Callithrix jacchus: one gene and its partner. The protein of the gene in region 1 binds, or shares a complex with, the protein of each later gene. Links are inferred from orthologs where the notes say so. Each region holds a gene or a part of one and is shown on either strand. Other genes may lie near its edges.

What was found.
Region 2: the proteins of NFKB1 (region 1) and NFKBIA are in contact, whole or in part, in a crystal structure (PDB 1NFI), measured with the Homo sapiens proteins. The link is inferred for Callithrix jacchus from reciprocal best matches to the Homo sapiens genes NFKB1 and NFKBIA. Residues at the interface, in NP_001158884.1 of Homo sapiens: Lys251, Ile252, Val253, Arg254, Met255, Asp256, Arg257, Thr258, Ala259, Pro326, Lys345, Leu348, Tyr350, Ile353; in NP_065390.1 of Homo sapiens: Asn108, Asn109, Leu110, Gln111, Arg140, Tyr181, Pro214, Cys215, Asn216, Arg218, Tyr248, Gln249.

What each region holds. Positions count from the first base shown.
Region 1 is NC_133504.1:94,726,035-94,729,842, forward strand, and holds part of NFKB1 (nuclear factor NF-kappa-B p105 subunit), read right to left. Parts: coding exon 3,751-3,808; intron 3,304-3,750; coding exon 3,134-3,303; intron 2,805-3,133; coding exon 2,702-2,804; intron 1-2,701.
Region 2 is NC_133509.1:69,916,284-69,920,800, forward strand, and holds the start of NFKBIA (NF-kappa-B inhibitor alpha), read right to left. Parts: upstream 2,885-4,517; 5' UTR 2,776-2,884; coding exon 2,561-2,775; intron 1,953-2,560; coding exon 1,844-1,952; intron 1,514-1,843; coding exon 1,303-1,513; intron 1,006-1,302; coding exon 917-1,005; intron 810-916; coding exon 549-809; intron 200-548; coding exon 152-199; 3' UTR 1-151. UniProt on the Homo sapiens protein: Inhibits the activity of dimeric NF-kappa-B/REL complexes by trapping REL (RELA/p65 and NFKB1/p50) dimers in the cytoplasm by masking their nuclear localization signals.

The DNA of each region.
Region 1 (3,808 bases):
AGGATTAGGGTCCTAACTGTTCAAATTTATGCATTACAATGTGTATTTCTCAGCCCCTTTTCTTGCACACTCAAAAGAGCAAAGATACTTGATGTCTAGTGACAGCATGGCCAGTTTCATTCCTGGGTACAGCATGCCAGGGTTCTGATCTTTAAACAAACCAACCTGCTAGGATGTATAATTATTGAAATATTTTGGGAAATCTAGTGTGCTCTTTAGCATCCAGCAAAAACAAAAACAAACAAATAACAAAACACCAATGTAACTCCAAGACTAGAGCTAGAGTTACTTCTCAGAGGCTTAGGCTCTTGTTTGAGTGTTTAACTTGATGTTTAATGATGCTATTTTGGGTGGAGGAACTTGTTTTTATCTTGTTGGGAGAATATCAGATGGGTCAGTAATAAGAGAATAGTGCTTAATGGGAAGCAGAGAAGGATCTCCATGCTATTTCTCGATTTTACTCTCCCAGTTCTGGCAATAAATGTAATCCCACCATGAAGACAATGGAGAAATTAAGATGAACACTTTACAGAACCAAAGACTAGAGTCTTGCTCTGTTGCCCAGGCTGGAGTGCAATGGCAAGATTTTGACTCACTGCAACCTCCACCTCCAGGGCTTAAACAATTCTCCTGCCTCAGCCTCCCAAGCAGCTTGCCTCCCAAGCGCTTGCCTCCAAGCCTGGCTAATTTTTGTATTTTTAGTAGAGATGGGGTTTTGCCATGTTGACCAGGTGAGTCTGCAACTCACAACCCTCAGATGATCCACCCGCCTCAGCCTCCCAAAATGCTGGGATTACAGGCATGAGTCACTGTACTTGGCCTTACCTGACCTTTTCCATGACGTTAAAATTAGGACTTTGGTTTTTCATCTGAGTTTCTTCATTTGTATATCAGAGAAACTGTTACTTGCTATTCCTTTAATGGGATTCTGAGAATTCAATATAAAGTATTTTTAAAAGGGTATTTATAGTTTATTTTTTCTTTTTAAGATGGGGGTCTCACTCTATAGCTCAGGCTGGAATGCAGGGGTACAACTGTAGCTCACTGCACTCTTAGAACTCCCAGGCTCAAGCAATACTCCTACCTCAGTCTCTCAAGTAGCTGGGACTACAGGCGCATGCTACCATGCTTGGCTACTTTTAAAAATGTTTAATAGAGATGAGGTCTCACTATGTTTCCCAGGCTGGTCTCAAACTCGTCGGTACAAGTGATCCTCCTACCTCAGACTTTCAAAGTGCTGGGATTACAGGCATGAGCCATCGCGTCTGGCTGGTTATAGCTTCTTGTCTGAAGGCATTTAATTATAATCAGTGTCTTCTAAAACTATTAATACACACTGCAATCAGAGTTTCTTGTTCAAGAAAAAGCTCAATTTAACAAAAGAGAAAAATATGGTGTCCCCAAAGAAAAAGTTCCTGCGTCTTTAATTTGCTTTGTTTTCTTGAATTTATGGTGCAGTTACCTTCTACATTAAAAAAAAAAACAAAAACAAAAAAACCCTCTAAAGTAAATCAGATATGTCAGGGCAGGCTTAAGATACCAATTTCATTACACGTATTTTGAGGTTCTAAATATGTAGGGCACTGAAGATTCAAAGATAAGCATGGATAATTTTCTATACTTCATAAGACTAGAAATGGAATAACATCTGCAAACCTATGAGCAAAATAGGAGAATGAAACATAGTAGAGAGAATAAAGTAAAGAGAAGCTCACATTGCCAAAGTGTGACTCACAGCTCTGTCACTTACTGGAACCCTGAATGGAATCTGGTAATCTCTCTCGTCTGTTTCCTTGACTCTAAGATGGGAATAATAATGGTATTTGTTCCAAAGGGTGACTGGACATTAAATGAGACTGTGCACATAAAGTGCTATCACAGGGCTGGGCGTGGTGGCTCACGCCTGTAATCCCAGCACTTTGGGAGGCCGAGGCAGGTGGATCATAAGGTCAAGAGATCGAGACCATCCTGGTCAACATGGTGAAACCCCGTCTCTACTAAAAATACAACAAATTAGCTGGGCATTGTGGTGCGTGCCTGTAATCCCAGCTACTCAGGAGGCTGAGGCAGGAGAATTGCCTGAACCCAGGAGGCGGAGGTTGCAGTGAGCCGAGATTGTGCCATTGCACTCCAGCCTGGGTAACAAGAGCGAAACTCTGTCTCAAAAAAAAAAAAGTGCTATCACAGTGCCTGGTATATGCAAGGTCAATAAGTGCTAGCCATTTTTAGTGTCTTCCACATAATGGGTCTTAATATATGGCCCATTTTCTTTTTCCTATACTTCAATTTCTAAGAGACCATTCTTTCAAAATGAAGTCTTTAAATGATTTCTTATACCAATAATCTTTTTCTTCTGGGGACTTCTGACATTATCTGAGACTGATACTACTCAGAATTCTATAAGGAATCAAACTCTACTTTGAAAAGACCCCTTGTCATGGGAGTCAATCTAAATAATCAAACCCCAAACAAATAGATGAATCAGAAAGTAAAACTGACATGGCTGTGAGGGTAAAGCTCAAGATTACTAGTCCAAACAGTGCCTTATGGCAGATAAAATGTGACTTGCCATATAATTTTTATTTGCCCTTGCTTTTCAGCAGTAGGTCTGTGGCTTAAAGAAGGCAACATGGCTGCTCTATTGAAGTCGGGTTTGCATTCTTGACAACATTTTTCATTAATGACCGCCAGGCCACCTTACCTGCCGCTTTGAGAAGAGCGGCCAGCCTGGTGGACCCTCTCCCAGCTGCTATATGCAGGGGTGTAGTTCCATCGTAGGTAGTACTGTCCACATGGGCATCACCCTACAATCCAGCCCACACAGAAAAGCGTTAGTAGAAGGTTCTTTTGCCCTTTTGTCCCCACCTCCCAGTGTACATGGCCCCTCGGGTCCTATTACTAGCCCCGTTGCTACTTTGGGCTGGCTCTGTCATTGAAGAAATCACCAATTAGAGATGCCAAGCAAGAGTGGGGGGTGGGGAATGTCTGAAGGGGCTACTCTGAAGCCCTTCATAAATGTTAAATAAATAGAGTTGATTGTAGGGAGAACAGCAGCTATTGACTTCATTCTTTGAAGATTTCCTTAAATCTCCCTCAGGAATTCAATGAAAAATAAAATAAGTGTGTCCTTCACCTCAAGGAGCAGGCAGCCAGCCAATGAGATGTTGTCGTGCTCCACAGCTAGGTGCAGTGCTGTGCGTCCGGACTTTTGCTCCTGAGCATTGACGTTGGCCCCAGCGGCCACCAGCAGCAGCAGACATGGCAGGCTATTGCTCATCATGGCTAGATGAATGGCATTCAGACCTAGAGTCCAAGCAAAGGGACAGTCACAGGATGGGATGGATACTCACAAGATGGCCCTTGGTGAAGCTGAAGGAAATGGCAAAAACTGGATCATAGGGAGGGACAGTAAAGGCACTATAAGTCTATTGTTCTGCTTTGAGGACCCACAGTCTCCTATTATGTTCTCAGGAGACACTGGGCATAAACAAACATTCTCTGAATGAATGATGCTTTATGCACTTCAAGATGAATGTTTACTCAGGCCTCTGCTTTTTCCTCCTACTATTCCAAACCATCTTCTAAAAAATTAGCTTTGGTGAGCAACAGAAATGACCAAAAGAGATGATGAATTCCAGGTGACTAAGGAAAGTCCTTTTGGGTACAAATCAAATAACACACATTTATCAAATACCTAGTAGGTATTTACAAGGCAGAAAAAGTTATACCAATGATGTGATTGCCTCTTACCGTCCCCGTTGGGGTAGTCAAGAAGTAGTGCTGCCTTTTTGTGCTTGAGTAAGATACT
Region 2 (4,517 bases), on another chromosome or scaffold:
CCACCACAGTAAAATGTTTTGGGCCAGGCAGTGTGCAGTATGGATATAAGTACACCCTTTAAATTTTTTTTTTTTTTTTTTTTTTTTAAGAAAAATAAAACTCTCTTTTTGTACAAATATACAAGTCCACGTTCTTTCAGACCCTTTGTGCTCATAATGTCAGACGCTGGCCTGCAAACACACAGTCATCATAGGGGAGCTGAAAACAAAGGGAAAAAAAGAACGTTAAACTTCTGGAGCTCTGCCAAGCTATTGGGATGGGGAAGCTGCTACTGGAAATAACACTTGGACTCCATTCTCCGTAGCCCAAATATAGTGAACTTTACAGGTTGAGGGAGTTTGCCTTTAATGCTTCTCTTTTAAAAAAAACAGTGCGCTATTAAAAAAAAAAAAAGGCACATTCTTGGGATACTGGTTATACACAGAAATTTGAGAGATTCATTACATGGACATTCCTCTAATGAAGAGCAGCTCTAGGGGACTGGGAGGGTGAAGGGAAAGCCCCCCCGCCATTAATTTCACAGAATACTGAAGCAGTTCAGACTCACCTCATCCTCCGTGAATTCTGACTCTGTGTCATAGCTCTCCTCATCCTCACTCTCTGGCAGCATCTGAAGGTTTTCTAGTGTCAGCTGGCCCAGCTGCTGCTGTATCCGGGTGCTTGGGCGACCCCAGGTAAGCTGGTAAGGGGAGTAGCCCTGGTAGGTAACTCTGTTGACATCAGCCCCACACTTCAGCAGGAGCGACACCAAGTCAGGATTCTGCAGGTCCACTGCGAGGTGAAGGGCAGTCCGGCCATTACAGGGCTCCTGAAACCAAAAGGAATTTGAGATGCCTATGGCTGCGTTTGGAATTTCTGCTTGCAACACAAGCACGAGGAGCTTGACTCAGAACATGGGAGGCAGGAAGCACTCACCTGAGCATTGACATCAGCACCCAAGGATACCAAAAGCTCCACGATGCCCAGGTAGCCATGGATAGAAGCTAAGTGCAGACACGTGTGGCCTGGAAGAACAAAAGGAAAAAAGCATAACCATTTGTTTCAACCCTCCTAAAGCAGCACCTTTCACCTATTCTTTTATGGGACAAACAGTCATGTCTTCTGAATTTTAAGAACCCCAGTCTGGGTTCTGAAGGGACTTTTAAAATGTATCCAATAGGCATATTGCACACATCTTTTCTCGATCTTTCACAGGTTGGGAGTTTAAGCTCTTTCCTGGACTCCCTAAGTTGGCCCACGTGCCCTTTCTGCATGTCACCTGCCCTCTGAGGGGGTGGGGCAGGGCAGGAAGGCAGACATACCATTGTAGTTGGTAGCTTTCAGGATGGAGTGGAGGTGTGGGGTGGTGCAGGCCTGAGTCAGGACTCCCACGCTGGCCAGGCAGCCCTGCTCACAGGCAAGGTGTAGGGGGGTATTTCCTCGAAAGTCTCGGAGCTCAGGATCACAGCCAGCTCCCAGAAGTGCCTCAGCAATTTCTGGCTGGTTGGTGATCACAGCCAAGTGTAGTGGAGTCTACCAGTGCAAGAGAAACCAGAGAGAGTAAGCCATGAATCAAACCCACACCCCGAGTTCCCCGGATCCCCAATGTCTCCTGGTTGGGTGCTGCTCCTCCCAGGTGGGAGGGTGGGGAGGGCTGGCAAATAGCAGAGGCTCCAGGTGGGTCATAAAGACCTCACCAAATCCATAGAATTTCCTTCCCTCTCTAGGATGGGGGCTGATGCGAAGTAAACGGCAGGGGTGAATAATGCCCAGTGGCCCTTAATTCAGAAAGGATCTGGGGTGACTCTGCTACATCAGCTCTGTCCCAGGGTCAAAGAAAGCCCGGGCCAGGCACGTGCGCACCTGCTGCAGGTTGTTCTGGAAGTTGAGGAAGGCCACGTCTCCCTTCACCTGGCGGATTACTTCCATGGTAAGTGCCTTTTCTTCATGGATGATGGCCAAGTGCAGGAACCTGTGGGGAAGAGGGAAAAACCCCCAGGGGTGGTGAGTGCACCGCGTGGGGCCCAGGGAGGCGCGGGCTGCGGGGGATTGCGCAAGGCCGGGGTTTCTGGAGGCCGAGGCCGCGGTGTTTTCCGCGAGGTTATTATGAGCTGAGTGTTCCTGGCAGGCGCCCAGGGACTTTCCGCCCCCCTCCTTCAGGCCTCGGCGGGCGCCGGCCAGACCGCCCCGCCCTCCCGCCGGCTCGGAACGCCCTGTACTTCCCCTCCCGGCTGCAAGGCGCCCGCCAGCGGCCAGAAACTCCCGCCCCGCCTTATGCAACCGGGGACTTCGCGTCCCCACCGCCGCCCCGCCCCCGGCCTAGAGGACGGATGGGGGGGAGGGGGCGTGTGGCGACGCTGCGGTCCACCAGAGCCGAGCCTCTGCCCCTCCTAGTCCAGCCGGAGTCCCGCGCGGCCCTGCGGCCCTGCAGCGTTCGGCGCCGTGCAGGAGCCCCGGGGCGCCGCGGTGCTGGCCCGGCTGCAGCGCTGGTCCCCGGGCTCGGGCTGCAGGCCCAGCACCCCCCAAGCCCCGCCTGCGCGCGTCCGGTCCTCCCAACGACCCCTGGCCCGCGCCACTTACGAGTCCCCGTCCTCGGTGAGCTGCTGCTTCCAGGGCTCGGCGCCGTGCTGCGCCTCCTGCGGCTCTAGGCGGATCTCCCGCAGCTCCTTGACCATCTGCTCGTACTCCTCGTCCTTCATAGAGTCCAGGCCGCTGTCGTGGCGGTCGTCCAGCAGCCGCTCCTTCTTCAGCCCATCGCGGAGGCCCTCCATGGCCCACTCGGCTGCCTGGAACATTGCTCGGGCGAGCTGTGGGTGCTGCTGCGGGTGCGCTGGGCCGCGGGCTGCGCGCTGCTTCCTCGCTGGAGCGCTGGCGAACGGTACGGCGGCGCGGGCTGCTGTGGGCTCTGCAGCGCCGCCCCAACGCCCTTATAAACGCTGGCTGGGGATTTCTCTGGGGCGGGGTCAGGCGCGGGGAATTTCCAAGCCAGTCAGACCAGAAAAGAGAACTGGCTTCGTCCTCTGCTAGGGGGAAAAAGAAGCCTAAACCCTGAGCTGGGGTTCATCGGAGAAACTCCCTGCGATGAGGCACTGGGGTCACGGACAGGGAACTTTTTGATGAGCGCCGAGTGGCTGGAAAGTCCTTCCTACCAGGCCCCCTGCCCCCGGTACTTCCCTGCAGCCTGCACCCTGTAATCCTGTCCCTCTGCAAGTTAACCATTTTTCCCTGGGGTTTCCCACGATCGCTTTGAATTGGGGTCGTCGGCTGCTGAGATCCCAAGGACGCCGACCTGATGGGCAGTCCTTCTTTGGGGTTTGCCAACCTGCCGGTCTTTTCCGTTTTTTGATCTTTTGAAAACGCAAGAGTGGAAATGATGGCTGGGTGTAGGGATTTGCTTTCCGCAGACTTCTCTCTAAGGGGAAGGACGCACTGTGATTAGAAGGCTGCAGGCCGCCGACGTGTTTCTACCAATACCAGGCTCTTTGCAGCACCGGGACGCTTAGCTTCTCCACCCCCACCCCCACCCCCACCCCCACCCCCACCCCCACCCCCACCCCCACCCCCACCCCCACCCCCGCACACCCCGCCAGATAGAAGTTGTGAAAGCTTTGGAGTGAAAACCTAAATCCTTGGAGAACTCTCAAATAAGTTCCTATGGAAGAAGAGCTCTGTTGACTGGGGGAGGGGTGAACTCTCCCTGTACGGGGGAAACTGCTAAATAGGACCAGGATTTTCTTCCCCCTAAGTAAAGCTAGGTGCTAATCTTTGTAGTAGTGGTTGTGGATACTTTGCAATAACAAAATAACTATTGTGTTCCTAAGTAGCGATTTTGTTCATGCTCTCTGACCTACATTGTGCTGCTGCAGAGAATGGATCCTGAGCCTACTTCTGGGTGCAAACTGAGCAATTCTCCAGGAACACTTGGAGAAGGAGACTGAAGAATGAGTTTAGTTAGTACCTTAAACCGCGCTTGGACCGTAAGGACCACTAAGAAACTAGTTGCCAGGCATCCTGCGGGAGGCTGAAGGCAGTCTGGTCCTGCCCGCCCCTCCTTGCTCCATTGTCCGGGGGGACGGTAGCAGTTGGACTCATTCATGCCACCCAGGTAGAAAGGGGTTTGGGCTCACTGTGCTCTGGTTTTACCTGCAGAAATAGAATTTTTGCTCTCCACCCCATCTCCACCTCCAAGTCTACAAGTCATGGACTGAATTCTACTTGATAGAGTTGGTATAGGCAAAAGAAAGCAAACTTCAATCAGAGCTCTTCAGGATTAGTCCCGGGAGGCCTCTATAGTTCTGCAGAGATTTCTGGTGATTATTGCAGTCATCTTTACCTTGACTGGCCATGTACTAACCAATCCTTCCCCTCTCTTCAAATCTCCACCTTTCCCCCAATATTAGAATATAAGAAATCTGACTCAACAGAGATAGACCAAGTGTGAAGGAAAAAAAATTAAAATCAGATAGAACCTCCAGGGTAGTAATGATCACATGTTACAATGAAAACTTCCCAGGGATAGACACCATTGTCTCTGTAG